Linked DNA regions of Macaca mulatta. The protein of the gene in region 2 interacts with the protein of the main gene of each other region in a biochemical or structural test. Links are inferred from orthologs where the notes say so. Each region holds a gene or a part of one and is shown on either strand. Other genes may lie near its edges.

What was found.
Region 1: the proteins of LRRK2 (region 2) and GAK interact on a protein array, tested with the Homo sapiens proteins (3 studies listed by BioGRID and IntAct, with this or other methods). The link is inferred for Macaca mulatta from reciprocal best matches to the Homo sapiens genes LRRK2 and GAK.
Region 3: of the proteins of LRRK2 (region 2) and MAP2K6, one has a biochemical effect on the other in vitro, tested with the Homo sapiens proteins (2 studies listed by BioGRID). The link is inferred for Macaca mulatta from reciprocal best matches to the Homo sapiens genes LRRK2 and MAP2K6.
Region 4: of the proteins of LRRK2 (region 2) and RAB8A, one has a biochemical effect on the other in vitro, tested with the Homo sapiens proteins (2 studies listed by IntAct). The link is inferred for Macaca mulatta from reciprocal best matches to the Homo sapiens genes LRRK2 and RAB8A.
Region 5: the proteins of LRRK2 (region 2) and ANKS4B interact on a protein array, tested with the Homo sapiens proteins (2 studies listed by BioGRID and IntAct, with this or other methods). The link is inferred for Macaca mulatta from reciprocal best matches to the Homo sapiens genes LRRK2 and ANKS4B.
Region 6: the proteins of LRRK2 (region 2) and YWHAZ interact on a protein array, tested with the Homo sapiens proteins (3 studies listed by BioGRID and IntAct, with this or other methods). The link is inferred for Macaca mulatta from reciprocal best matches to the Homo sapiens genes LRRK2 and YWHAZ.
Region 7: of the proteins of LRRK2 (region 2) and RAB5B, one has a biochemical effect on the other in vitro, tested with the Homo sapiens proteins (2 studies listed by IntAct). The link is inferred for Macaca mulatta from reciprocal best matches to the Homo sapiens genes LRRK2 and RAB5B.

What each region holds. Positions count from the first base shown.
Region 1 is NC_133410.1:956,080-960,238, forward strand, and holds part of GAK (cyclin-G-associated kinase), read right to left. Parts: intron 3,346-4,159; coding exon 3,222-3,345; intron 1-3,221. UniProt on the Homo sapiens protein: Associates with cyclin G and CDK5. Seems to act as an auxilin homolog that is involved in the uncoating of clathrin-coated vesicles by Hsc70 in non-neuronal cells. Expression oscillates slightly during the cell cycle, peaking at G1.
Region 2 is NC_133416.1:47,108,026-47,112,184, reverse strand, and holds part of LRRK2 (leucine-rich repeat serine/threonine-protein kinase 2), read right to left. Parts: intron 1,285-4,159; coding exon 1,175-1,284; intron 1-1,174. UniProt on the Homo sapiens protein: Serine/threonine-protein kinase which phosphorylates a broad range of proteins involved in multiple processes such as neuronal plasticity, innate immunity, autophagy, and vesicle trafficking.
Region 3 is NC_133421.1:79,169,376-79,173,534, reverse strand, and holds part of MAP2K6 (dual specificity mitogen-activated protein kinase kinase 6), read right to left. Parts: intron 3,435-4,159; coding exon 3,386-3,434; intron 2,802-3,385; coding exon 2,688-2,801; intron 960-2,687; coding exon 840-959; intron 4-839; coding exon 1-3. UniProt on the Homo sapiens protein: Dual specificity protein kinase which acts as an essential component of the MAP kinase signal transduction pathway.
Region 4 is NC_133424.1:16,584,826-16,589,779, reverse strand, and holds the start of RAB8A (ras-related protein Rab-8A), read right to left. Parts: upstream 2,938-4,954; 5' UTR 2,925-2,937; coding exon 2,801-2,924; intron 2,451-2,800; exon of another isoform or gene 1,859-2,450; intron 1-1,858. UniProt on the Homo sapiens protein: The small GTPases Rab are key regulators of intracellular membrane trafficking, from the formation of transport vesicles to their fusion with membranes.
Region 5 is NC_133425.1:21,170,433-21,174,341, reverse strand, and holds part of ANKS4B (ankyrin repeat and SAM domain-containing protein 4B), read right to left. Parts: intron 1,081-3,909; coding exon 1-1,080. UniProt on the Homo sapiens protein: As part of the intermicrovillar adhesion complex/IMAC plays a role in epithelial brush border differentiation, controlling microvilli organization and length. Plays a role in assembly of the complex.
Region 6 is NC_133413.1:111,303,971-111,308,129, forward strand, and holds part of YWHAZ (14-3-3 protein zeta/delta), read right to left. Parts: intron 3,457-4,159; 5' UTR 3,446-3,456; coding exon 3,152-3,445; intron 1-3,151.
Region 7 is NC_133416.1:63,132,578-63,136,736, reverse strand, and holds part of RAB5B (ras-related protein Rab-5B), read right to left. Parts: intron 2,762-4,159; 5' UTR 2,673-2,761; coding exon 2,510-2,672; intron 1-2,509. UniProt on the Homo sapiens protein: The small GTPases Rab are key regulators of intracellular membrane trafficking, from the formation of transport vesicles to their fusion with membranes.

The DNA.
Region 1 (4,159 bases), on a different chromosome or scaffold from region 2:
AGAACAGCCAAGCCAATCCTGTGAGGGAAGGAGCAGAAGGGAGCCTCCCTCCCAGGGCAGAGCTGGCCGGAAGCTACGGAGACCGGAAAGGCTGGGCTAGGAGCAACCTCAGCTAGGCACACCGCAGAGGGGCCGTCCTCATCAGAGGAAAGCTTGGAAAAAGGTCCAGAGAGATGAGTGACCCAAATACACACGACCAAACCATTACCTGAAAGTGACTGCATTCAAATATTTTAAAAACTGTCCAAACCCACAGAGCAGGTGCTGACTTAGGACGTGGGTCTTCCGTGCATTCAAACATTTTAAAAGCTGTCTAAACCCACAAAGCAGGTGCTGACTTAGGATGTGGGTCTTCCAAAGCAACAAGGGAAGACCGGGAGGCACGGTGAGCCTGACGCTCGGCCACTTTTGCAGCACAGGACGCTGGGCAAGAGACAAACAGGCCACATGAAGCATGGCTACTGGACCCATAATCTAATCACCAGCAGAAAAACAAAAATAAGGGCCAGGTGCGGTGGCTCACGCCTGTAATCCCAACACTTCGGGAGGCCGAGGCGGGGACATCACCTGTCAGGAGTTCGAGAGCAGCCTGGCCAACATGGTGAAATCCGCACAGATCCTGTACCACGGGGGGCAGCGGCAACCAGAGCGAGCTGACACGCCTTAAGCAAAGGTGGGCATTGAGTGCCACAGGATCCACGCACATCTCACCCACCCCAGCAGCCCTGCGGGGGCCCCGTGCACCTGGCTGTGTTGGCCTCAGGCACGTGTACCAGGGGGTGTGTGTGTTAGGGCTCCCCTGGACACTGACAGGAGAGAAACCAAGGCCCAGACACAGGGCTCAGGCTCCGACGCCCCAGCTTCCAGAGAACACCAAGCACCAGGGCAGCCAGGGGCTCGCGGCCACCCAGGTCCTGACTCCCAGGCTTCTCCTTGGGGAGAGCCAGAAACACAAATTAACTCACTGTCCCTTTTTTTTTTTTAAATTGAGGCAGGGTCTTGCTCACTCCAGGCTGGAGTGCACTGGCACAATCACAGCTCACTGCAGCCTCAACCTCCTGGGCTCAAGCCATCCTCCCACCTCAGCCCCCAGTGTAGCTGGGACCACAGCGGCACGCCACCTTGCCCAGCTAGTTTTTTTATTTTTGTAGAGACAGGGTCTTGCTATGTCGTCCAGGCTGGCCTCAAACTCCTATCTTCAAGTGATCCTCCCTCCTCGGCCTCCCAAAGTGCTGGGATTACATGAGCCACCGTGCCAAGTCACCGTGCCAAGCCATCTTTTGAGCCTCCAGGCCCGGCCAGAACTCACCGTGGCTTCCAAGTCAACTTTACAAACACGAGTTTATGCAGCTTCCTCTGCCTCAAGCACATGGTGTGAACAGAGAGCAGATCAAAACAGCAGGGCTGCCCTCAGCTAGCACCTGGGGGTGTGGGGAGAGTTCCCACCATCCCCTAACAAGCAGCAGCTGGCTGTGCCTGAGCGCCGTGAAAGCAGCACCCGCTCAAGCCAAACTGCGTCCTCCTAGGGCCTGGAACCCACGGGTCCCAGCAGAGCCATGTCTAGGACCAGCCCCTGCAGCCTTAGGCTTCTGGCAGACAGCAGCTCCCACCATCCCCACAGCTGCTGGGGAGGGAGGGTGGCCTGCAGTCCCCCAAGGAGGACCCTGGAGCTGTGCCTGGCGCCCTGGACACCCCACATGCTTCCTCCCTCTGCTGACTCCGCTCTGCCTGTCCCCACAATGCACTGTGGCCGAGGAGACCATGAGTCTTCTGGGGAACCAGCCAGTCTGGGGTGCTTTGGGGCCCGACATCCATCCCTTTCTACTGACACTGAAAGTGACTGTTCCTGCTGACTTTCACATATGGCTTTGCTGCCACATCCTCTCTGTCCGTTTCCACTCTGATCCCAACATCACTATCACCAAGATGATGCTGGAGAATCGCTCATCCCCATGGGTCCATGGTTGGCCCCGCTGGCACTCCACACGCAGTGCCACCCGTCAGGACCCTGCAGGAGCCACACTCCTGGGCCCAGTGGGCAGTGCGCTGGGACCAGACAGAGCTGCCTCTGATCTTCCATCAGTCACAACTCAGGCAGGAGACGTCACAGAGGAGGCACCCAGAGGTGTGAGCGAGCTCACGCCCTGCTCTGGGGACGGCCCACTAAGAACAAGTTTCTCTCCACAAAAAGCTGCACAGGGACAAGGCACACAGCTCACACACCCAAACATGCAGCACACACAGAGGCACACAGCTCACACACACAGGCCCTCACACAGCACTCCTACACATGCTTACACATGCACGCAGCTCACACACACAGGCACTTACACACACGAGTACACGTGCATGCAGCTCACAGGCACTCGTGCACATGCGTACACGTGCAGGCGGCTCGCGCACAGGCATACATGTGCACGCGGCTCACAAGGCACTCGCACACATGCGTACACATGTAGGTGGCTCACGTGCTCACAGGCACTTGCGCACATGCGTACACGTGCACGCGGCTCACACGCACTCACAGGCACTCGCGCACATGCGTACAGGTGCACGCGGCTCACACACACACACGACGCCCTTGAGCTGGTGCGACCACCGGGCCAGATGAGCAGTGCAGCATGCTCCCGGGCACCCAGCTCCTCCAGAAGAGCCAGCATGTGGACCCCGCAATGCAGAGGGGCCGCACTCTGGAACATTCTCAGTGCTCTGTGAGCAGAGGCTGCCGGGCCTGTGGGCCGATGTCAGGGGCCACTCCCACACAGACGCGCCCCTGGACAGCCCACCCAGAGGAAGACTTTCTCCCACCACAGGCCGGGACCCACCTGGCCTAAGTCTGAGTAACTAGGGCTTTAACTCAGGGGACTGGCTCAGTGAGGCGCCACCACAGCTGTTTCACCCAGTTCACACCAGAGAGTCCCGGGAACCCAGGAAGGCCCCAGAGTGAGGGGCGTCATCACAGCAAGGGAGGGGCGGGCACAGGCGTCTCCCCAGCAGGGCCTTGCCCCCCAGGCGGTCAATGGAAAGGGATCTGCCCGGCTCTGTGGGGTGCTGGGCTCATTCCGACTCCCTGGGAGAAGCGGGTGATGCTGTCCCACTGCCTCAGGGGCGCCTGTGGGGCCTGATGACCAGCTGTTCCACCGCGGCCAGGGAGCAAGCGCCGGGGCTGCAGCCTGGAACGAGCACACGGCAGGTCCAGGGCTCTGGAGCCTCACACTCACTTAGCGACGGACTGTATGACCTTGGAGGAGGTGTCCTTGAGGTTGGTGAAGAGCCGCTCCGTCCCACCCCGCAGAATGTCCAGGAAGCCGCCGTAGGGCTGGTCGTACTCCGCCAGGGCCAGGCCTGCAGGGAGACACAGTCTCAGCAGCCCACAGGTGCTCCGTCCCACCTCCCCAGGCGCGGGCTGCTGGCTGGGCCCAGGCAGCGAGAGCAGGGAGCGGGTGGTATGGCCAGGCCCCCAACCCACATGTACCCAGCAGCAAGCCAGGCCTCAGCACTGGCAGGTCTGACCCTGTCCTCAGCCTTTCCAGAGACCCAGAAAGTGGCCAATCTGGGTGCGGAAGGGCTATGCGGCCGCCTCAGCACAGCTGGGGCTGGGACTCTGTCTGCGGGGATAGGCCGGCCTCACGGCCACAGCTTCAGGTCACCATAACCCTGGACGTGAAGGCAGAGTGGTGGCCCCTGGCAGCACCGAGCAGACGGGGCACTGCAGAACCCAGCAGCTCGAGGACTCACCCTTCCTCCAGCCAGCAGAGACATAGCCAGCCACCACACCTGCATGTGCAGGACCCACACTGCATGGACCGGGGTGCCCCAGACATGGAGCCGAGCTCCTCCCTAGGAAGCAGAGCTGAAGGACCCAGGCGAAACCTCCCACACCCCAGTGGGGATGGGGGGCAAGGTCGGGAGGGGTCAGGGCCATGCAGAGCTGCATAACCAGCCGCTGCCTGTCAGGGCCACGTCCTCAATGGCCCAGAACCTTCTGGAGTGCTCGCAGCACAAAGTCCCAAGAGCATGCAGCATCTGTCTCCAGGGCCCTCTCCCCTCCTCACCAGCTGAGGGCCCTCCAGGGACACCCAGGCCCATCACAGGTGCCCACTCCTCACGTGGCAGAAGGGACCCCCTCACATTAGTGGCAGAACTGTCTCCCCACCGC
Region 2 (4,159 bases):
ATTACAAAGATTAGATTGAAGATGAGAACTCCAATTAATTGTAAATATGCTCTTTCCAAACACACCCTTTATGTACTGAAAACAAGAAGAGCAACACATTTGTCAAAGAGGGGAAAATGTATAAGCACAGATATGTTCACTTATGGCCAAACATATAGCTCTAATTTGTCTAAATTTGTAGCACTACTTGATACTGATCACCAATATAAACACCTAAAAATTTTTCATAAATTAAATTTTCATAAACTGTATACCATTGTAAGCCAGATATATTCACAATTTCCTTTTCTGTGGTAAAGAAAAGTCACATTACGTATAAAAAAGATTTAAAGTTAATGACAGAAGGTTTGTTTGTTTGTTTGTTTGTTTGTTTTTGAGATAGAGTCTCACTCTGTCACCCAGGCTGGACAGCAGTGCTGCAATCTCGGCTCACTGCAACCTCCGCCTCCCAGGTTCAAGTGATTCTCCTGCCTCAGCCTCCCGAGTAGCTGAGAAGATATTTTTTAACTGTCAAGAAATAATGTATTTTCCTGAAAACACATTCTTCTTCAGAAAAGGTTTTCTTAATTAATTGTGGCTAAGGAAGTAGTCTCATTTAAGAAGTCATTATGCTGCAAACTGCAAAAACATAGCTGGTAAAATTGTCATCAAGATTTGGCTGCAGATGTGCTGAAAGGTAATTTCCTCTTTCTTACTCTTTTTGAAAGCCGTAGTTTAAACTTACTGTGTATATATATGAATATATATAAATGTACCATTTAAAGACAGAACATCAACTTTCAAATTACTACGTACAGAACTAACTTTTCTCAGTTCCCATTTTTTTAGGAACTAGTGGTTTGTATCAGTTCTATTATTAAAGGGCAAAATATCTTCATGGTTTGAATGCAAAAGTACTCATCAAAAATCTACAAGTTAACCAGTTTTATAATTATATGATTATATTATTAAAATAACTCCTGACATGTTACCTTAAATGTTTGCTTTCTAAATCAAACTTCTGAGTTTAAAGCTCTCTATAAATGTAAATCATTGACTCAAGGAAAAATATCTGTATTTCAAAGAATTTCACAAGAGTAGCCTTGGATTGCAAATTCAGTGTATCAAGGGAAGGTTTTTATGTGTATAGATAAATACTCAAGGCAGTTTGTTTTTACATATCTATCATACTTACTGGTGAACACCAAGGACTTCCCAATCATTTCCAACATCCTGGGGTCCCATTAAGCTTTGCATTGTACCCGGGCAGATTTCTATTAATTTGCACAGAAGTGACCAACCCACCTGAAAACAAGAAAGACATATATTCACGTGTTTTAAAGAATGTTAATAGAACATACTGAGTCAAACATGAATCTCTTCAGTCTTAGTGGAATATATGCTTATCTCACTTGTAAATAATTGTTATAAAACAAAATGATACCCTAAAATGCTTACCAAGAAACAAAAGCAAGCCATATCCTTAGGATACACCTTTCTCCAAAAATCAGACCAGAAAGACATACAAAAAATATAACATTTCGGCTGGGCATAGTGGCTCACGCCCGTAATCCCAGCACTTTGAGAGGCGGAGGCGGGTGGATCACGAGGTCAGTAGTTAGAGACCAGCATGGCAGAGGGTGAAATCCCGTCTCTACTAAAAACACAAAAATTAGCCAGGCATGGTGGTAAGGTTACAGGCATCTGTAACCTCAGCTACTCGGGAGGCTGAGGCAGGAGAATCACTTGAACCCAGGAGGCAGAGGTTGCAGTGAGCCGAGATTGCGCCACTGCACTCTACCCTGGAGGACAGAGCAAGACTCCATTTCCAAAAAAAAAAATATATATATATATATATACACACACACACACACATAAATATATATAATTTCTAAATTTTGAAGAACATAGACACGCCTATTGTCTAAGGCAAAATAAAATAAACTACAAAAAATAGTTTTAGAGGTTGTACCAAGATTATTAAGTGCAAGAACGGCTATACTGGATCCTTAGTACGTTTCTTTTCTTGTTTTTTTTTTTTTTTTTTGGTTTTGATTTGTTTTTGAGATAGGGTCTCACTCTGTCACCCAGGCTGGAGTGCAACGGCACAATCACCGATCACTGCAGCCTAGAACTCACGGCATCAGGTGATCCACCCAATTCAGCCTCCCAAGTAGCTGGGACTACAGGTATGTGCCACCACACCCAGCTAATTTTTAAAACATTTTTGTGAAGACAGGTCTCTCTCTATATTGCTCAGGCTGGTCTCAAGCTCCTTGGCTCAAGCCTTCTGACGTGGCCTCTCAAAGTGCTGGGATTACAGGCGTGAGCCTCCGCACCTGGCCCTTAGTAGGTTTTAAGTAATAGCTACCTGACAGAATTTCCTCCACATATTTAAATTTTTAATTATAGGAAAAAATGAAGTGGCTTAAAATGAAGGATTAGGGCAAGTTGAAAATTTTAGTAGCAAAATGTAAGTTATCAGAATGGCTGCTCCCCAATTAATGAAGCTAGAATAATAGAGGCAAGAAACGTGGCATTTTTAGCAATTGACTCTACATCTGATAGGAGAAAAAAAGAAAGGGCTCTATAACATAGACAGGAGGTAGAACTCCTCAATGGCTCCCTCTAGATTTCTCTAGAATGAATTGATAAGGTCTAGAGATACAGACACCCCTAGTAGGCTCTTTCACATTTCGAAATAAAATATGAAATTATGGATGCATTTTAAGTATATCTTCACTCAGTCTGTTTACAAGATGCCAACTTGCCTAAGTTGCTCTTTACCTCTGAAAAAAAAATTGAAAGTCCTGATTTCAAACCACAGATTAAAATTAACCTACTCCTCCTATTGTAGACTCCTCTCTAAATGTAAAGGATCTCCAATTCTATTATACTATAGAACTATACTTGACATGGTCAAAAAAAAAAAAAGAAAGTGCATTTATACACACACACACACACACACACTCACACACCACCCTCTAGAGACTTATGGAAAAGTACCTAAGTGTGATGTGTAATAAATACCAATACAATAGAAATACTGAAAGTAAGATTCAGTGTGAGTTGAAATTACTCAGAGAATATAATATGAAGAGGGAGAGCTTGAGTCAGATTGTATAAGAACTGTTGAGTGGTGAGGAGAGTAGGCTGCTACATAATAAGGAAGCCGCTACAGGAAAGAGGCTATTTTGGGATAAGGCTGGATGCATAAGTAAAGTTGAACATTGCAAGGAGTTGAATGACAAGGTGAGAAATCTATATGCATCCAATAAGGAATAATGGCACAAGTTTCTTACCTGTTTGCAGGAGTAAACAAGGGTTATTTTAGGAAGATAAAAATGATTACTCAAGATCTCTTTACAATATTACTTTTGGATCTTTTCCAGATTAAACAGAAATTGCTTTATTTCGTCATTACTTCCTTTTACATAATTTCAAATTGCTTTCAAAGGCAGCAATTTCTGACAGCTATTTCTACCTATACTACTTAAGTAGGACATCCTCCTCCACGTAAGCTGAACAGACATTGACAATCCAGCTGTCATAGAAACCAACTATTTTTGTGCTTTCATAAAATACATCAAGACTTTTTTCCGAAGTATTTAAGAAAATAACATTCTGAACAGCTTCTGGTGGTGAAAAAAATCACATAGGATGCCAAACTCATCCCTATACCTACAAAGCTGACTCAAGGAAAAAACCTGTTTTGTTCTGGTTGGTGAAGCAACAGCATAAGTAAGTGCTTTGCAAAAAGATTCAGGCAACTGAGCTCTCCAGTACTACATGGAACTTCTGTGATGAAACAGAATCTCTGGCAGCAAAGCAGAGGTAACAATTGATCCATTAATCTATTCAATTAAAAGCTTATCTTTCAAAGAGAGAAATTTCCCATCCTGCACGGTTACAATACAATTAAATTGGTAGTTTTACTTTATTATAATTATTCTAAAAACTCAAGCATGTAATTAAGGCACAACAGGAAAGAGTCTAGGGGTTAAAGAAAAATTTTTAGCCACTTTCATTTATTTTGCTCCCCTTCTTCAAGGTTGAAACCGTGAGAATAAAGAGATGTAAAATTTAGGAGCACAGTGAAACGATGGGCAGGAAAAGAAAAATATAAAGCAGCTTAACTACCAATTTTCTAAAGACTGTCATTTATGTAGAAGCATTAATA
Region 3 (4,159 bases), on a different chromosome or scaffold from region 2:
ACCCTGGAGACCAATTGGTTCAGGAATTGTTTAAAACGATGAAAAAGGGAGAAAGAAAAATTAAAAAAAACAGTAAATACCTGTCCTGAAGAATTAACTATTTCTTTCTTGAATTTTGAGGGGAAATATATTGCTTTCTGTCAAGATCATAAAGGAATTCACAAATAAGCAAGGTTATCTCCAAAGAGCAAACCAGTAGGTAGCTGAGCAGAACCTGCATGTGATCTCCTACCCCTTAATGAAAAATGGAATCTAATTACTAACAGACATAAGCAATAAAACCCCAGAAATCCAGGCCTTTACTGATACCACTGTCTAGGAGTTAGGTCTAGATGCCTACTCCCTGTCGGATCTCTCACACTAAACAACAGCAATAGTCAGTCAAAAAGCTGGTTTTAATGAGGTGAAGCCTCATAATTCATATCATGGTGAAGTGAAAAACAGAGGTAGAGAAAAGAGATCAAAGTAAGTCTACATGGTACACAAGTAGGCTAGATGAAGTTCCTAAAGCAGTCCAAAGACCAGAATATTTCCAATTATAAGAGATCTATGCAAATCAGTCTATAGGCGATATAGAAAGTTCTGCCAAGATAAACAAAACAAAAAAAGAAAGGAGAAGAGAATCTCTGCATCTGAAAAAGGCTAACCACATTTGAAAATACCATAATTTCAATCCAACCTTGCCCCAGGGCATGTCATCATTGCACACACGTAAACCCCCCTATACAAGATGTGTCAAAGAAGAAAGAGCTCCATGATTGTGATGGCATTTACGTGATCAAAGAAACTTCTTTTTACGTTATTGTTCTCCCTGGACTTTGAATTGAAGGGTCACCTACCTCCCGAAACAGTGCGCCATAAAAGGTGACGGTGAATGGACAGTCCACCGTCCTCATGGAAATATCCAAATCCATCAGTAGCCTTTTCTGTTCCTGGCTATTTACTGTGGCTCGAATCCGCTGAATGCAAATGCATGGAAAATTTATGGTTACTACTCTGAGGATGAGGCAGGCAGGGACCTGAAGGAGTCCCATCATGAAAATAGTACAGTTCATAACACAACTTCTAGCAACAACATTGTGAATATCCACCCTAAGTGATTAGCTATCTGTAACACATGAAAATAAGGAAGGCTGTTACTCATTTGATTTCCTGAACAGTCTTGGTAAGAAACAAATTGATAGTATGTTTTGGAGAGTGACAAAATATTTTGGAATGTATTTCCAAGTTACAAAAACAATCTGGTTTACTGTATTATGTCTGTTCAGTGCAAAGAGGACACAATATTAAGGACTTTGCTGCTTATCTGAGGTCCCAAGAAAATAAAAAGCCAAAAGCGCTTCTTTGGGAACAGGTAAGAGTATTTGGAGGGAAAAGTAACTGTAAGAGAATTGGTACAGCTATAGGAAACGGAAGGAATTAGAGAGAAATAGAGAAACCGTTCATTCTTTATCCCAGTGCTTCTGTGGCAAGAAAAATCTGTCACACTAGCAAATGTAGCCTTACAGAAACATGATTATGTCATTAAATGATAGGAGAGATACAATATCACTAGGCCTTCACGCTTTTTGCCTACTTAGCAAGTCAGCAGAAGAACAGACTGAAAAATCTACAAGATAAAAGTATTCCCATTCTTCAAAAGCAAAGGGATCCAAGTCCCTTTGATTATTCCTAACGATGGCCCAAATCTATTAACTCAACTAGAGATGTTAATTCTTTGTGATCCTCCCAGCATCTACTCAATAATATGAAATGATTTTAAATTTCCTTTCATAGCTCAAAAACTACGTAGATTGACCCTAGATATATTTTACCCTCCTTTTTCCACAAATGGAGACAATTTTCTCTCCCAATTCTGGTTTCTTGATTTTCAGGGGCAACTCTTTAAAAGCAACAAAATATAGAATAAAAGAGATTTATGAGTCATAACAGCCAAATGCAATACGTAAACTTTCGTTGGGATGCTGATTTGAAAATCCAAAAGGACAAAACAAACACACACACTTTGAGATGATCAAGGAAATTTTTACTTGGACTGTGGATTAGATGAAGGAATTATTATTATCATTATTATTATTATTATTTGAGATGGAGTCTCGCTCTGTCATCCAGGCTGGAGTGCAGTGGCATGATCTTGGCTCACCACAACCTCCACCTCCCGGGTTCAAGTGATTCTCCTGCCTGAGCCTCCCAAGTAGCTGGGACTGCAGACACGTGCCACCATGCCCGGCTAATTTTTTGTATTTTTAGTAGATATGGGGTTTCACTATGTTGGCCAGGTTGGTCTCGAACTCCTGACCTCGTAATCCACCTGCTTTGGCCTCCCAAAGTGCTGGGATTACAGGCATGAGCCACCATGCCTGGCCCATTAATTATTTTTAAGTGTGATGATGACATGGTAGTTTTGTAAAAATTTAAAATTGTGAAAGAATGGATGGAGGGTGAGTTAAGAGTTAAAAAACAAAACAAAACAAAAAAAAACCAACAAATAAAAAGTAGATACAACTCACACCAAGGAAGCCTTTTCCAAAATACCTTTTGAGGAAAATATTCTTCCCTCCAAATAATCTTTTATGCTTTACCCTACGGAAGATGGTTTTGCTTCTATTAAAAGGGCTGGTTGACAATTGAGATGGACAAATGTATACACAGCAGATAGAAAACATTTGGGAGAATGTCAACTCTACCTTCACTGCCATGATCTGCCCGCTGGGCACGTGCCGCATCTTCTCCACCACCCCGTACGCACCTCGTCCCAGTTCCATTATAGGCTCTAGGTCATCTGCCTTCACCTCAAAGTTCTGCAAGAGAGAAAAGGAATAATGCAATGGGAAAGAGAAAAATAAACAGAACAGAGAGCACCTTATCTTCTATCTCGTTTCTCTCAATATTCTGAGGATTATTTCTGGGCCAGAAGATTTTCTAGCATGTCAAAGCAGCCTCTGAAAGCAAGAAGCTACAAGAAGGGCCAAGAGATGTCTAGGAGCTCCCACGGGGGTAGCCCACCTGCTTGTCCCAGGCAACACAGAAACACAACTTGGATTCAGCTTGCTTATGTCTCAGTTGAAGCTATTTCACTGCAGTTCTTTAGCCATGACCCTTCATTGTGTCTGTAACCCACTATTGACTGATGGCAACTAGATTATGTCTGAGCTTTGAGAAACACCGTCCCAAGAGAACCATCTACTCTCTTCAAATGCCTTCCATCAAAACCACAGTAGCCTGATTTCAATTCAACATTTTTTCAAAATAGCAAAAACTTTGCATACCACTTCCCTTTAAATGCAAATGTTTTTTGACTCATCCCCTGACAGCATGCTAGGGGAAACAAAGCATACATATAAAATGGCCAACGTATTAGCTGGCAGACGTGATTTTTTCTTACCTGATTTCCAATAGAAATGCAAGCCTTGGAGTCTAAATCTCGAGGTGGTCTAAGAAAGATAAGGGGGAAAAGAATAAACATAAGCTAATGAGTCAATTATATCCTTCCCAAATCACACGCCACTGGGGGTATTTTTCCTTAAAAAGAAAGTGGAAGTTCATGAGTAAACTGAAGCAGCATATGAGTGTGAATAAGAGGAGATTTGAAATAAATTACATTTGGGTTTAAATTACTTAATCTCTTTGGGGCTCCATTTCTTCTTTCACAGGGGGATATTAATATGCCTACATTGTGAAGCAGGAGTGAGTATTAAATGAGATAATACAACTAAAATGCTTAGCAGAATGTTTGGCATACAATAAATATCTAATTCATATGTGTGATTATATAGATCAGGGTGCCTAACTCCCAAGCCACAGACTAATACCAGTCAGCAGGAGATGAGTGGTGGGTGAAGGAGAGAAGCTTCACTTGTACTTGCAGTCACTCCCCATCGCTCACATTACCACCTGAGCTCTGCCTCCTGTCAGATCAGCGGTGGCATTAGATTCTCATAGGAGCACAAACCCTACTGTGAACTGTGTATATGAGGGATATAGGTTGCGTACTCCTTATGAAAATCTAATGCCTGATGATCTGTCACTGTCTCCCATCACCCCCAGATGGCACCATATAGTTGCAGGATAACAAGCTCAAGACCCTCATTGATTCTACATTATGGTGAGTTGTATAATTATTTCATGATGTATTACAATGTAATAATAATAGAAATAA
Region 4 (4,954 bases), on a different chromosome or scaffold from region 2:
GAGGGAGGGATCCTGGGGTCAGGTGCCACCTTCACCTTGCTAGGTAACTTTCACCAAGTCACATCTTCATCTGCAAATGGAAGACAGCCTCTTTAAAGCTCAAAGTAACTCTAAAGAGGGGGGGTCTGGGCTGGGCGCAGTGGCTCATGCTTGTAATGCCAGCACTTTGGGAGGCCAAGGTGGGCGGATCATGAGGTCAGGAGTTCGAGACCAGCCTGGCCAACGTGGTGAAACCCTGTCTCTACTAAAAAAAAAAAAAAAAAAAAAAATACAAAAATTAGCTGGGCATGGTGGTGGGCACTTGTAATCCCAGGTACTCAGGAGGCTGAAACAGGAGAATTGCTGGAACCTGAGAGGCGGAGGTTGTAGCGAGCCGAGATTATGCCACTGCACTCCAGACTGGGTGACAGAGCGAGACTCCATCTCAAAAAAAAAAGAGGGGGGGTTTGTGGGGAAGGTGCTGAGGCCGGGAAACTGGGATCTGAGTGAAGGCAAGCCACAGTCTGCCCACAGTTAACATAATTTCTTTCTTTCTTTCTTTTAAGATAGGGTCTCGCTCTGTTGCCCAGGCTGGAGTGCAGTGGCGCCATCACAGCTCACTGCACCTTGACCTCCTGGGCTCAATCAATCCTCCCATCTCGGCCTCCCAAGTGGCTGGGTCTATACGGGTAAGCCAGTATGCCCGGCTAATTTTATTTTATTTTTTATAGAGATGGGGTTTTGCTATGTTGCCCAGGCTGAATTAACGCCACTTCTTGATCGGCTGGGGCACAAGAGTTACCCTAAAGTTTGGCCTTGGAGTTGGGGAGGGGGAAGAATTCAGAACCATCTGTCTTCAGAGGCTGGATGCTGTCACTGCAGGAGCCATTCATTCATTTGCTTCTTCGAGATGGCCTCTGGTTACGGTGATAACCCCTTATTGTCTAATTCTAATCCTCAACCACCAGGGCACTAGCCCAGGAGACAGCGTCACTCCTGCTCTAAAGACAGCAGGGCTCAGAGAGGGGCAGTGTATGTTCAAGGGCAAACAGCAATTGGAAACCAGACGTAACGATTTCCAGTCAGTTCTCTCTACTTTACATCAGGCATATAACTGTTTTATAAAGCACAGCTATCCTGGGTGCAGTGGCTTATGCTTGTAATCCCAGCACTTCGGGAGGCCAAGGTAGGTGGATCACAAGGTCATGAGTTTGAGACCAGCCTGACCAACATAGTGAAACTCATATTTACTAAAAATACAAAAATTAGCTGGACGTGGTGGCGGGTGCCTATAGTCCCAGCTACTAGAGAGGCTGAGGCAGGAGAATTGCTTGAACCCGAGAGGCGGAGGTTGCAGTGACCCGAGATAGCACCACTGGATTCCAGCCTGGGCAAAACAGCTAGACTCCATCTCAAAAAATAAAATAAAATAAAATAGAATAAAATAAAATAAAATAAAAAAAGCACAGCTCCTGGAGGGGGGCAAGAATGGAATCAGCACATTATCGTGGGGTTCAGGGAGAAAACATGATTCTGTTGAAGTGACACAGTAAAGCAAAGGCCATTCCCTACGTTTTCGTGACTTGGAATAAACTCCTTAGTGACCGTTCCCCCATTTTCCCCATCCCTAGCAGGGCTACAGAGCTCCCAGGCCACTCAGACTGGTGTTACTCCCCGGTCTAACCTTTTCATTGTGGGCCAGGACTGCTTTTGTGGCACTGAGAGAGGTCAGTTCCACTTCTGCAGACGGCACAACTGAGATGCACCAAGCCAATTCTGTTCAACCACAATGTGGGCTGGCCCTACGGGAAAAGCTGTTCTAAAGTGACAACCGGAGTCTTGGGCCCTTTGATAGGGAAGTCAAGGCTGTCTGTGGCAGTGGCTGATTTAGTTGCTCGCTGAGGCTTTTATCTTGCATCTTCTTGCAGATGACAGGTTCCAGGGCAGGCAGTGCTGTCACTTGTCATTACTGTCATCCTGGAGCAGGATGAAATGTGGGCAGGGAAAAGGTCCTGACTCCTCTTATCATTCCTTCTAGAGGAAAATACACTTATGAGGGGAAGAATGGTCAGGGAGAGGGGTTCAACTTCTGAATACTCCAGAGAAAAGAGCAGGAATGGTGTGGGTTACAGTTCCGGCTCCAAGGTGCATTAGCTGAGCTTGTCATCAGCTGGGAGTGTGAGGTGGCATCTCTCTAGGATAGCTAAGCCTCGAGTTTTGGGTTGAGACACAGCCAGGTTCAAATTCCATCAAATCCCATTCTCACCACCTGCAGACTGTGTGGCCTTGGGCAAGTTCCAGGCCCACCCTGAGCCTCAAATTCCTCATCTGTGAGACGGGCTCAAAACAGCACTTAACACCGAGAACTGGAGAGTGTGAAAATGCACGGGAAGCACTTGGCACATAGTAAATGCTCATTAAGGTGAGATGTCACCGTCTTTTTCCCATGGCCAATTCCCCATGACTCAGTTTCCACTTCTGTAAGGCAGGAGCCTCAAAAGAACCGCTTTGAGGGCTGCTGCTAGGACAGATCGAGAGGACGGGCGCGAAGACCCCAGCCCAGGACATAACACTCCCTAACGAGCGGGCTGAGGGTCGGAGCCTCAGTCTCCCCATCTGCAAAATGGGCACCTGGTCTCCCCCACCACGGCCCAGGAACCTCCGAACGGCGGTACAGGCGACTGCTCTTCTCCCCTTAGGCCCCCTCGACCCTCTCAGCGCCCTCGGCCAGTCCAGCCCGGTAGATCCCTCAGCCCCAGCCCCTCAGGGGCGCGCCCAGCCCGGGCCTCTGGCGCCCCCAGCCACTCCCCGGTCCCGCTACCTATGGTGGAGATAAAAGTGGAGTTGAAGGCGTCCTCGGAGAAGCGGAACAGGACACAGGTCTTCCCCACCCCCGAGTCCCCGATCAGCAGCAGCTTGAACAGGTAATCGTAGGTCTTCGCCATATTACACTCTCTCCCCGACGGGAAGTGCGGCCAGCGCCTCTCCACTGGCCACCAGCACCGTCCATCAGCGCCGAGCCCGCCCCTTATTGGCTCCAGGCCCGCTGCGCGTCACCGCGGCCGACGCCCGCCCCTGCGTCCCGCCAGTCGCGGGGAGACCTGGGGAGGGGGCGAATGGAGCGCGGAGCCGGAAGCAGCCCGAGCGCACCTCCCATTGGCCGGCACTAGGGAGAGGACGGGCTCTGATTGACCAGCAGTGAAGAGTCGTGGGGCTTCAAATGGGGACGAGGCGGGGGCGTGGCATTATGTGGCCCCCGCCTTCCACCCCCTACTCGGGCGCCCCGGCCCCGCCCCACTACAGGAGAGGGAAGGCAGGGAGCGTCGCCAACGGCTCGCGCGCCGGCAGCCTGGGGGGCGGGGCTTGGGGTGCGTGCGCACGAGCGCCCGGAGTTCCGTTAGGCGACGGCAGAGGGCGCAATCCTGTACTTGGGGCGGGTATCTCTGGGTCCCGCCGTCACAACTCGCGCAGGCGCAATAGGCCCCGAGGCGAGCGCGGGAAACCATGGTAGCGCTCTCAACCTGATCTGCGGCCTCCGAGTCGGGGCAGCGGGGGCCGACGGAGGAAGGAGAGAGGAGACACTGTATACTCGAAAAGTGACCCGGGCCGGGCGCGGTGGCTGAAATCCCAGAACTTTGGGAGGCCTAGGCGCGTGGATCACGAGGTCAGGAGTTCAAGACCAGCCTGGCCAAGATGGTGAAACCCCATTTCTACTAAAAATACAAAAATTAGCCGGGCGTGGTGGCGGGCGCCTGTAATCCCAGCTACTTGGGAGGCTGAGGCAGAGAATTGCTTGAATCTGGGAGGCGGAGGTTGCAGTGAGCCGAGATCGCGCCTTTGCACTCAAGCCTGGGCGACAGAGCAAGACTCCATCTCAAAAATAAATAAATAAATAAAAGTGACCCAAGACGAGTTCCGAGGTCTGCGGCCTAGCGACCTGCTTACAGATACCCAAGGCCTCCGCCACCTGAGCGGCTTCACCGCCACAAGCTATGCCCCGAAGCGCGCGCCGGCCTCCTCAGGGTCCGCCCTCGGCCGCTTTAGGAGTTGTCCGGGCCAGCCCGGGGGGTTTAGAACAGTGAGGATGCTTTAGAACAGTGAGGATGCTTGTTCCTATCTAGGGGCCAGGACTCTCAACACTGAAAAAACAGGCCGGGGCTGTGGCTGCCACCTGTGATCCCAGTGCTTTGGGAGGCCAGGAGTTTGAGGCTGCAGTAAGCGGTGATCGTCCCACTGCACTCCAGCATGGACGACAGAGCGAGAAGCCTCTCAAAAAAAGAAAAAGGCCGGGCGCGGTGGCTCACGCCTGTAATCTCAGCACTTTGGGAGGCCGAGGCGGTCGGATCACGAGGTCAGGAGATCGAGACCATCCTGGCTAACGCGGTGAAATCCCATCTCTACTAAAAATACAAAAAAGTAGCCGGGTGTAGTGGCGGGTACCTGTAGTCCCAGCTACTCGGAAGGCTGAGGCAGGAGAATGGCGTGAACCCGGGAGGCGGAGCTTTCAGTGAGCCAAGATCGTGCCACTGCACTCCAGCCTGGGCAACAGAACAAAACTCCGTCTCAAAAAAAATAAAAAAGAAAAAGAAAAGAAAAAGAGGAGAGATACATTAGGAAAATCGGGCTTGCAGCTGGGTGTGGTTGCTCAGGCCTGTAATCCCAGCACTTTGGGAGGCTGAGGCAGGAGGATTGTTTGAGCTCAGGAGGTCGAGACCAGCCTGGACAATATAGGGAGACCCCCATCTCTACAACAAATAAAATTAGCTGGGCGTGGTTAGCACGCTTGTAATCCCAGCACTTTGGGAGGCTGAGGTGGAGGTTCACTGGAGGCCAGGAGGTGGAGACCAGCCTGGGCTAAACATAGCAAGACCCCCATCTCTGCAAAAAAAAAAAAAAAGTTTTTTGGCCAGTCGAGGGGGTTCACACCTGTAATCCCAGCACTTTGGGAGGCCAAGGTGGGCAGATCACTTGAGGT
Region 5 (3,909 bases), on a different chromosome or scaffold from region 2:
GTGTCGACCAGCTGCCCAGGCTGTTGTAGCACCTGCTTCCTCCTGTTTATAGCATTCAGAACTTTCTTCCTGGGACCCAGCTGCATTTGTATGCTCTGAAGGTCCTCATCAGAGCAGAGCAGCAGAGCTTCTAGATCAATCTGCTCTCTCTTAAAGATAGGCAGGAATTCTTCCAGGTGCTGAGACAGCAAGAACACTTCCAGGGGCGTGGCATCGACCACATCTTCCTCCCACTCCACTTCATCCTCACCCCATGGTAGATCATCTTTGAGGCTGTTTTCCTCTTCCTCTTCATCAGCTATACCCTCATCAGTCTCTGATGTTCCTTGTGTTTGAAACAATTCACTGGGCAGTTTAAAACCCAACTCCCTCTTGCTATCTGAGATGTCTTCAGGACTCAATATCCTGTTCCTTCTAAAAACAATACTTCCTAGACCTGGACGATTGAGAATGGATTCATGGCGCACACTGCTGTCCTCCTCTGCTGACAACTGGAGCTTCTCTTTGAAGTCCCCTGAGAATGAGTCTTCCTCTTCCTCTCTGAACACTTCCATCACGTTCCTCTGCCCACTTCTGCCTTCCTTCCCCACCTGTTCTGCTGTATTGTTGTTCTTTTTGAACTTGATCTTGAAAGTATCTTTAATGCCCTTAGATAGTGACCCGAATGTGCCAGGAGCAGAAGCATTTGAAGGGAATGACCTGGAGAAGGTACCCTTGGAAGAAGAGACAGTCCCAGACTCCTCCTTGCTGTAGGTGCGGGCCATCTTATTTTGGTGCTTCTCCTGGAGCCTCTCACACTCTTTGATCTGCCTCCTGGCATTCTTCTGAGCCTGCTCCTTCAGCCTGGTGACCTTCTTGGGGTTCATGATGTTCTGCGCAGTGGCAGCCTTGTCCAGGAGAGCAACACATTCATTCTGCTCCCTGCTGGCAGCAGCATCCAGCGGAGTCTGTAAGTCATTATCCAGGGCAAAGATGTTGGCACCAAAGTTGACCAGGAATGAGACGCAGTGGGCATGGCCATTGGAGGCTGCAAAATGTAGAGGAGTGTTTCCCCAGATGTCACACCTATCAGGGTCCCCTCTAGAAGAGAAAATACAAAAAAATAAATAAACATGTTGGGCATTTTTTTCTGAATTGGGCTCCAACAATTCAAAACAAAAATAAAGAACAAAAGGCATGTTAATGCAAACATGTTCATCCTGACTTGACATTGTTGTAAGATACTGGCTGCAAGTCCAGCTATCTTAGAACCGTCCCATCTTAAAACCACATGGCCAGAAACAGAGTCCATCTCTAACCTGTGTCTCCTTTTTGTTTGTTTCTTTTGTTTTGTTTTGAGACAGGTTCTCACTCTATCTCCCAGGCTGGAGTGGAGTGGTGTGATCACAGCTTATTGGCAGCCTTGACTTCCCAGGCTCAGTTTATTCTCCCCACTCAGCCTCCCGAATAGCTGAGACTACAGGCATGTACCATCACACCTGGCTAATTTTTTGTAGAGACAGGGTTTCACCATGTTGCCAGGTTAGTTGCAAACTCCTGGACTCAAGCCATCTGCTCACCTTGGCGTCCCAAAGTGTTGGGATCACAGGTGTAAGCCACCACACCCGGCTGTGTCTCCTTTTTAGAAGCAAGAAAAACTTTCTAAGAAATTCGCCAGCCAAACAACTTTCTTGTCTCATTGGCCAGCACTGGGTCACATGCCTAAGAGATGTGAAACATAGTACTGTGTTTAACTTAGATCAATTGGATTTTGCCCTGAAACTAGGCATAGGATTGTTCAATGGCTCCTCAAGAAAATAATAAAATCAAAATCCTAATTTGTAGCATGTGCCAATTTCTGTGGTGTAAATACATCCACCATGGCAGATTTCAAGCTACCAATGTGACATCACTAGACACAGAGTTTGGAAGAGATCCACAGTAGCATACCATTATCAACCATTTCCACCAGGTAGATATAATGGACATGAATTACCTTAAGAGATAGGTAAGAGTGAAAGGTATTAAAATAAGTAGAAAGTGAGACTTTTGTGTAACCTTGTTAATATAATTTGTTAAATTAAAGGTTAAACTTTTTTTTTTTTTTTTGAGACGAAGTCTTGCTCTGTCGCCCAGGCTGGGGTACAGTGGTGCGATCTTGGCTCACTGCCTCCCAGGTTCAAGCAATTCTCCTGCCTCAGCTTCCCGAGTAGCTGGGACTACAGGCACCCGCCACAGCACCCAGCTAATTTTTGTATTTTTAGTAGAGACGGGTTTCACCATGTTGGTCAGGCTGGTCTTAAATCCTGATCTCAGGTGATCCACCCGCCTCAGCCTGCCAAAGTACTGGGAGTACAACTGTGAGCCACCACACCCAGCCTGTTATTTTATTTTTAAGAATGGCTATGTTCTCAGAAGCTCAGGCTTATAGTAACCTATGATTGAACCACTGTACTACAGCCTGGGCAACACAGCAATACCCTGTCTTAAAAAAAAAAAAAAAGGCTAGGCTCAGTGGCTCATGCCTGTAATCCCAGCACTGGGAGGATGAGGTGGGAGATTTGCTTGAGGCTGGGCATTCAAGACCAGCTCGGGAAACACAGCAAGACCTGTCTCCATTAAATATTTTTTTAAATAAAAATAATAAAAAGTAAAAAAGAATGGCTATGTTTAACTGCCAAACTTTCTAAAATTTAGAAATAACTGCCAACAAGCTGGTTCCAGCATGCTACTGCTACCCTCCCGAATTGAGTCACATGTGGAGAAATAAATAACTGAACCAAACTCAGTCCCCATCAGCAGAAAAGAAGAAAGAAATGGATGTTGGGGAGGTAGCAAACAGTCCCTGTTATAAACATTTATTCATTAAAAGGGCATTACATCTCTATTTATTTCTCCACTTACTTCCATATGACTATAGGTTCATATAAGTGTGTCATTCTACAAAAGTTTAAGGAGGAATTGAAGATACTATTAGATGGTATTAAGGCCAGAAACCCAATGCCTGGCACAGAACAGGGACATAGTAGGTGCTCCAGTATTTGCGGAATGAATGAAAACCTATTGGAATCCTGCTCAAGGCAGCAAACCGTCCTCTCCTACGAGGACTTGAGTGACAAACAGGAACAGATGAAAAGTCGAGTAACTTTTTTTTAATGATGTCCAGAGCCATGCACCACTGCTGAGAACCCTAATACATATACTAAGGGGTCCTTCCTTTGCCCTAGTCTAGACTCCAAAATCAGGATCTCACTAAACTCTGGCCAGCCTGGCCCCATGGAAAGAGGACAGTGAGTCTGAGAAGTCCTCTTAACATTCCCAGGAGGTAGAAGGCAGAAGCAGAAGAGAAGATCTGCACCCTTGAAAATGACCTGTTAGTGCGCCATGACCCTTCTACTAGTTCCTGGCTGCTCAAAGTTTGGTCTCCAGACCAGAAGCATCACCTGTGAGTTTGTTAGAAGTTCAGAAGACTCTCACGCCTGAAATCCCAGCACTTTGGGAGGTCGAGGCGGGTGGATCACGAGGTCAGGAGTTCAAGATCAGCCTGGCCAACATTGTGAAACCCTGTCTCTATTAAAAATACAAAAATTAGCTGGGCATGGTGGCATGCACCTGTAATCCCAGTTACTCAGGAGGCTGAGGCAGAAAATTGCTTAAACCCAGGAGGCGGAGGTTGCAGTGAGCCAAGATCACACCACTGCACTCTGGCCTGGGCGACAGAGTGAGACTCTCTCTCCACCCCCGCACCCCCCAAAAAAAGTACAGAAGACTCCCAACCAGACTTATTGAATCAGAATCTACACTTTAGCAAGATCTGCAGGTGATTCATAGGCTCACTAAAGATTGAAAAGGACTTCACCGGTTTAAGGGAGGAGACCACCCCTCATATTGTCTTATGCCCAACTTCTGCCTCCAAAGAAAGAACATGTG
Region 6 (4,159 bases), on a different chromosome or scaffold from region 2:
TGGCAGGAAAGGCAGATTGCATTAGTTCACATATTGCAGTTTCAAATTAACACATGGAAGAGAAGAACTCGAAGTTCTTTTACATAATGAAAAGTCCACCTTGTGAAGAACATGCCAGTGACCACTTTCCACGGTAATGCTCTATTAACTCTTGTAATAAGCAACATGGTCCAAGCTCTTTGCTTATTAAATGGTTAAACAATTGATAAATACATGTAACCAAAATGGGTTACTAAAAAGTTCTTCAGAAAAACTCAGAACGTTGGAGATTAGCTGCTTTTTGTAGGAAGAGTATATTTTCATAGCTATTATAAAATAGGTGCTCAATATAAAAAATCTGGTTATCACTAATGCCACCAGCCAATACCATTAATTCTGCAAAGGGATTACCTGCTTATTTTTCTCAAATTAAAGTGTGTGTGTGTATATATATATATATGTATATGTGTATATACATATATATCTCTCAAAGCCCAGAAAAGGCTGGAGTAATAAAAAATTATAATTGATTTTTTTACCATGTAAGATCTCAAATATATAATTTAAAATATTTTTAATAATCATTAAGTAACAATGATTCAAAAACTTTCTCTAGTAGAAATACCAGTTCTGCTACACTTTATTCTTCCATTTCACTAAAAAGGGGAAAAGGAATTTTATGCAATGTTTCCAGAGTCGATGTGACCTATTTGAAATAGATGGTAGGAAAAAGAAGCCTATTATCTGTAAATATCAAATTTTCCCAAGCAGAAAAAGAAAAAGCCAGGGAAATTTTGCAGTGCTGCTGACCTAATTCTATCCTTTCTCAAAAAAAGCCTTTCTGCTTGTTTAACAAATATTTGAGCATCTACTACACGTTCTGAGTATGCAAAGATCACTAAGTCTTACTCTTAAAAAGACTAAGGCTGGAAGCCAAAGCTTGTTTAGAATTCTCTTCGAACCCACTTGTATAGTAAAGAAAACTCTCATTCATCCAAACTTTCAAAGTATAAATACCATTTAGACTTTTTAAGAAGCCAGTGCTATTCTAGAGGGTAACGATGTGAGTAGGGACCAGAATCAAACTCCTTAATAATCATAACAACAAGAAGCTATTAAGAGATTATCTTGTCATCCTCATCTACTGGTTCTATGCAAAAAATTTTTCTTGATAAGGAAACCAAAGGGAAGCATAGTCAAAACTGCTACAAGTTGGGCCAGACATGGTGGCTCACCCCTGTAATCCCAGCACTTTGGGAGGCTGAGGTGAGTGGATCACCTGAGGTTGGGAGTTAGACCTGACCTGGTTACCAGCCTGGCCGACAAGGTGAAACCCTATCTCTACTAAAAATACAAAAATTAGCTGGGCGTGGTGGCGCACGCCCTGTAATTCCAACTACTAGGGAGGTCAAGGCAGAAGAATTGCTTGAACACGGGAGGCTGAGGTTGCAGTGAGCTAAGATCATGCCATTGCACTCAAGCCTGGGCAACAAGAGCAAAACTCAGTCTCAAAAGAAACACAAAAAAACAAACCTGCTACAAGTCTTTTCCCAGGAGAAGACTCACAATGACAGGAACTTTTATACTTTGTATATGGAAAACATGCACATACCTACCTGGTATTGCAAATAAGCGTGTTATTAAAAGGTAAATGTCACATTCCTTTTTATTCCTAAAATTGACTTTTGTCTTAAGGGAAATGTTAACTTGTAACATATCCTTTGAAGCCCAAATAAAAACTTTTTGATCAAGTGTAACACCAGACTGAACAAAACTGAGTTACACTTACACAGATATTAGTAAGGAGAGCAAGGAAAAAAAAAAAAAAAAACCCAATACATTTTTTATTATAGAAAAAAAATCACATTTTCAAAATTTAAATATTCTTACTACCTTAGCAAAATCACAAGATAGGTATTTGTCACTTGGCCTCAATAAAAGCAAGATATTCCTTTTTTCAACTTAGATACAAATAACAGCTATCATTGTAAAGGTTTCAATAAGAACAACAAAAAAAAAGCCCCAAGACAGATGTCTCATTGAGTTTGTGATTGTGAACCCAAATAAGCATGTTTTAAAAAATCACTATTATTTTAAAAGACAGTGTCAAGTATCATTTGAGAAAAATACAGTTTAGGAATTGATGCTATTCCATTAGTAAATACAAGTGTAAAGAAATGATAGCATCATCACAACTGTAACAAAAACCCCAAACCCACAACCACATCAGACATTATCCTATTGCTCATTACAGTACTTCTTCCATATAAATAAGGTTCATATAGTAAGTAACACACCTGGATTTCCATACTGAGTCCCACATTCAGTAACCTGTCCAGAAAAATCGCGATGCTGCTGCCCCTCTTTGTATATCAGAGTCCTGCCATACTGGTTAAGTGTAACCATTTAGCAAAATCACTTTAAATATTATTCCAAAAACTGCCAGCTTGGATTTTCTACTAGTTTATCCTCAAATTTAAACTATTCTTGATCAAAAAGCCCTACTTTGTATGACAGATTAAAATTAACCAAAATGTAGTTTAATCATTTTAAGCGTAGTGCTTCAACACAGTAGGTACTGAATACTTAAAATACTCGATTCAAACTGGAAAAATCAAGCTTGAGTTATTCATAACCTTTCATCATGGTTGCGAGTGTTCAAAATTTATTTTCAAGAATTCAATGCAGGAAAGAGGTTTCATAGTCGTGACGCCAGAGTTTTCTGCATGGCTGACTCATTACATTAACATTATAGCGGCTAATCCTGAGAAGAGTACTATTTCTACAATCAGTATCCTATTACATCTCTCTTACATAAAATATGTAAAATTCCTTTATCCATAGATGTACATTTAAGATAACCAGCTATAGAGCTACCACAAATGTTCTAACCATAAGTAAAGCAGTAATACTATTAGTTTATCTTTTCAATAATACTAAAGTCTGTTATTTTTAAAACTGAACTGTTTCATCATCATTATTACAATTACTTTACATACACATATCTATAATTGTCTTAACATCTTTTTAGTTATGACACCATGAAGACTTTTAAATCTGAACACACAATGTTTAGAAGGAAAAGATAAACCGAAGAAAACGTTGAGAGTAATGTAACTGATACTCATAGGAACCTTACAGTATAATGAAGCCAGATTCAATTGATTCTCACCAGTACATCATTGCAGATATCTCTTAGCTCCGTCTCAATTTTCTCTCTGTATTCTCGAGCCATCTGCTGTTTTTTCTCAGCACCTTCCGTCTTTTGTTCAATACTTGAGACGACCCTCCAAGATGACCTACGGGCTCCTACAACATTTTTATAAGCAACTGAGAGAAGATTCCTCTCCTCATTGGATAATTCAGCTCCTTGCTCAGTTACAGACTTCATGCAGGCTGCCATGTCATCATATCGCTCAGCCTGCTCGGCCAGTTTGGCCTTCTGAACCAGCTCATTTTTATCCATGACTGGATGTTCTGCAGGGGGGAAAAAAAGGAGTATTTAAAATTTTTCCCATCAAAATAAACAGACTCAAAATTATACCTGTGGTAAATGAGTTTTTTAAACCTGAAATCTAACTGCCTGTGGAAGACTGTTCACATGAAGAATTAAAATGCAGCTTCACAAAAGGATAGTCAGAAAAGGAAAAAAAATTCAGCATACTCAGCATCAGAGGTAAACTTTCAGCCATTAACACATCAGTGTAGCAAAACTAAAATTTGTTCAGAAGATACAGATTTCACATAAGGTCAAAATTACTTTCAAAAGCTGCCTCAAAAACTTACCCCTAATCTTACTTGACCAAAATCTCAACTCATTTCCAATACCACTAAGTGATCTGAAATTAAGCAGCTTTTCTTCCATAGTAAAAGCATTGTTTACAGAGAACATCTGGATTTCTATCATATTTCCAGAATCATAATTCTTGTCAGTTTAACTCATGTCTTTTTACTTTCATAATACTTTCGTCAGGAGTGATTAAATTTTAGTTTTAGTGTTACCCCCACCCCAAACCTACTAGATCTCTGCAACATTTGCCAGCCAATAATAGCATAACAATTTGGGGGGAGGAATGACCAAACTGTTTGTTTTCAGATATTTTGAGTATAAATCCACCACAAAGGATCAATATCTGACCCTAATGCCTCAACTCCTTATCTTGTTATATGTCCACATGCT
Region 7 (4,159 bases), about 16 Mb from region 2:
ACTTATAAGCGTCATCTTTCTTCTAACCAAAATAGGAGAATAACAAATGACAGACACAATAGCTTCAGATAAAAGTCACGTCAAGAATTAATTAGAATATTGGGCCAGTCACAGTGGCTCACGGCTGTAATCCCAGCACTTTGGGAGGCCGAGGCGGGTAGATCACCTGAGGTCAGGAGTTTGAGACCAGTCTGACCAACATGGCGAAACCACATCTCTACTAAAAATACAAAAATTAGCCAGCCGTGGTGGTGGGCACCTGGAATCCCAGCTACTCAGGAGGCTGAGGCCAGAGAATTGCTTGAACTTGGGAGGTGGAGGTTGCAGTGAGCCAACATGGCGCTACTGCACTCCAGCCTGGTCAACAAGAGCGGAACTCTGTCTCAAAAAACAAACAAAAGAATTAATTACAGGATTGGCTGGGCGCAGTGGCTCACGTCTGTAACCCCAGCACTTTGGGAGGCCAAGGCAGGCGGATGGCTTGAGGTCAGGAGTTCGAGACCAGCCTGGTCAAGATGGTGAAACCCCGCCTCTACTAAAAACACAAAAGTTAACCAGTCATGGTAGTGGACACCTGTAATCCCAGCTACTCGGGAGGCTGAGGCAGCAGAATTGCTTGAACTGGGGAAGCGGAAGTTGCAGTGGGCAACCACTGCACCACTGCACTCCAGCCTGGGCAACAGGGTGAGACTCAGTATCCAAAAAAAATAATAATTAATTAGAAGATTTTAAAGCTTGGTGGCAAGTCCCATCATTATTAATATTATTTGGCTGTTACTTTTTCATCTAATCTGCTGCAGGTCCAGGAATACATTTCGAAGAAGACTAAAAAAAGGGGAAAGCAGCCGGGCATGGTGGCTCATGCCTGTAATCCCAGCACTTTGGGAGGCCGAGGCGGGTGGATCACTTGAGGTCAGGTGCTCGAGACCAGCCTGGCCAACATGGCAAAACCCTGTCTCTATTAAAAGTACAAAAGTTAGCCGGGTGTGGTGGTGCGTGCCTATAATCCCCGCTGCTCAGGAGGCTGAGGCACAAGAATCACTTGAACCTGGGAGGCGGAAGTTGCAGTGAGCCAAGATTGCACCACTGCACTCCAGTCTGGGCAACAGAGGGAGACTCAATCTCAAAAACAAATAAATAAATAAATAAAAATAACAAGGGGAGGGAATAATATGGAGGTTCTCATAAAAGATCCTTTATTGAATTAGCACCCTATTTTGGGGTAGTAGCAGGGAAAAGGTAGCAAAGATGAGAAAGACAGAAACCCTTTGTATTTTGCATTAGTTCCAGCCTCTATTTTACCAGATTTTTTTTTTGAAACACAGTCTCGCTCCTTCGCCTAGGGTAAAATGCACGGGCGCAATTTTGGCTCACTGCAACCTCCGCCTCGGGTTCAAGCGAGTCTCCTGCCTCAGCCTCCCAAGTAGCTGGAATTACAGGCATGTGCAACCATGCCCAGCTAATTTTTGTTGTTGTTGTTGTTGTTGTTGTTTTGAGACGGATTTTCGCTCTAGTCACCCAGGCTGGAGTGCAATGGCGCAATCTTGGCTCATTGCAACCCCCACCTCCTGGGTTCAAGCAATTCTCCTACCTCAGCCTCCTGAGTAGCTGGAATTACAGGCACGTGCCACCACGCTCAGCTAATTTTTGTATTTTTAGTAGATACAGGGTTTCACCATGTTGGCCAGGCTGGTCTAGAACTCCTGGCCTCAAGTGATCCGCCTGCCTCGGCCTCCTAAATGCTGGGATTATAGGTGTGAGCCACCATGCCCAGCCTATTTTACCGCAATTTTTTTTTTTTTTTTTGAGATAGAGTTTCACTTTTGTTGCCCAGGGTGGAGTACAGTGGCGCAATCTTGGCTCACTGCAACCTCCATTTCGCGGGTTCAAGTGATTCTCCTGCCTCAGCCTCCCAAGTAGCTGGGATTACAGGCAACCGCAAACATGCCCGGCTAATTTTTTGTACTTTTAGTAGAGACAGGATTTCGCCATGTTGGGCAGGCTGGTCTCAAACTCCTGACCTCAGGTGATCCACCCACCTTGGCCTCCCAAAGTGGTGGGCCACTGGGCCCGGCTTCTGTTTTTATAAAGGGTTTCCATTTCTGGGGAAAAGAATGCAACTAAGAGGGCCAGCTCCATAATCAGGTCTTAGATCTCGTTTCAAAAGCCTTACCAGCCAGGCGCGGTGGCTCACGCCTGTAATCCCAGCACTTTGGGAGGCCGAGGCAGGCAGATCACCTGAGGTCAGGAGTTTGAGACCACCCTGGCCAACACAGTGAAACCCTCTCTCCACTAAAAATACAAAAATTAGCCAGGCGCCATGGTGTGCACCTGTAATCCCAGTTACTTGGGAGGCTGAGGCATGAGAATCGCTTGAACCTGGGAGACAGAGGTTACAGTGAGCCAAGATTGTGCCACTGCACTGCAGCCTGGGCAACAGACTCCATCAAAAAAAAAAAGACAAAACCCTTACCAAACATTCAATCTCCTCTTACCCCGAGACACTCACCTCCAATGGTGCTCTCCTGGTACTCATGGAACTGCCCTTTGACAAAACGTAACACCAGGCTTGACTTTCCCACTGCAGATTCTCCCAGCAGCACCAATTTGAACTGGCAAATTTTGCTGGCCTGGGGTTGCCCATTGGGCCTAGCTGTGCTTCTGCTAGTCATGGCCAGATTATCAGAGTGGGAAAGGGTGGAGGGAGGGGAATGCTGTAAAGGGGGGGGGAAGGGGAGGGGATTTCCAGGCTTCAACACTCCTGCAAGAAAAAAAAAGTGAATTAGACATACATCCATTGAAGCTGCAATCGCTTTTCAGAGGAGGATAGAATCTCTTCATCTCCTTGCTCCTATGAGGACTTAGCTCTTGCAGTCATCTGCTATTGACAGGTTATACCTCTGAGAAGGTCCCAGGCAGCTGACCCTCAGTGGTAAGAGTTGGCAACAGCAAAATAAGAACTGCTTCTGGAGTCTGCCCTACCACATAATCTCTAACTGCCAAGGGAACTGAAATAGAGAGACTGAAAACTGAGAGTTTTTAATTCCCCAGTAATTCCCCACCATATCTTCAAGGTTTTTTGTTTGAGTCACACAAAGTGATCAGCCTTTAGTTGGCCTGAAGAATATCCAGATCCACCCACAGGTACCCTAGATCCCCAGTATCTCCTTGGCATCCTGGTGCTGTGCTCTTCTTTTCCTTTTTTTTTTTTTTTTTTTTGAGACGTCACTCTTGTTGCCCAGGCTGGTGCGCAGTGGCATGATCTTGGCTTACCACAACCTCTGCCTCACAGGTTCAAGCAATTCTCCCACCTCAGCCTCCCGAGTAGCTGGGATTACAGGCACGCACCACCACGCCTGGCTAATTTTGTATTTTTAGTAAAGATGGGGTTTCTCCATGTTGGTCAGGCTAGTCTTGAACTCCCGACCTCGGGTGATCCGCCCGCCTTGGCCTCCCAAAGTGCTGGGATTACAGGCGTGAGCCACCATGCCTGGCCTTCTTTTCCTTTTTCTTTAGCTCTCTGTCAAAATGAGAGATTCACTCTAGGGGTGTGGGATAAGAGTCACCCCTCCTAAGGGCAGAAGGGTAGATGCTGATACATCTTTTATATATGACTGGTCTCCCTGATAAGACATTTCTAAAGATCTAACCAGGGTCCCATTGCCAGAAAATCTATCCTTTCTCATTTTTGGTTGAAGGAGAGAAATACAACCAACAGATCACATTCATTATCAACTCCTTGTTTCATTAACAACTTTTTTCACTTTGTTTCTCCCATCTTTCCAAATCTGAAAGCCTATCAAGAGTCAGTAAGCTTGACCTACTCTCAACCTGCAGCTGTCTTGCTGGTGCCTAGGGATTAGATTACCCTCCACACCAAAGGGGCCAAACAGCTGTAGCCCTCCAAATTAGAGGCAGAGAAAGGTATACCTTCTAAAGACATGCAGGAGTCTCCAGAGGATGGTATAAGGGATAAGTCTGCAAGCGATCAATATTTGATGAAAGAATACACTGAATCAACTCCTCTATCTTCTAAGAGGGCTAAGAAAGCTGCTGGTGGGGCAGGGAACAGAGAGAAGAGTTGGGACTTTGAGATTCTAATTGTCTAAATCTGAATACATTTCATCATCCTGACTCTGAGCAGAAAGGAGCTATGAAA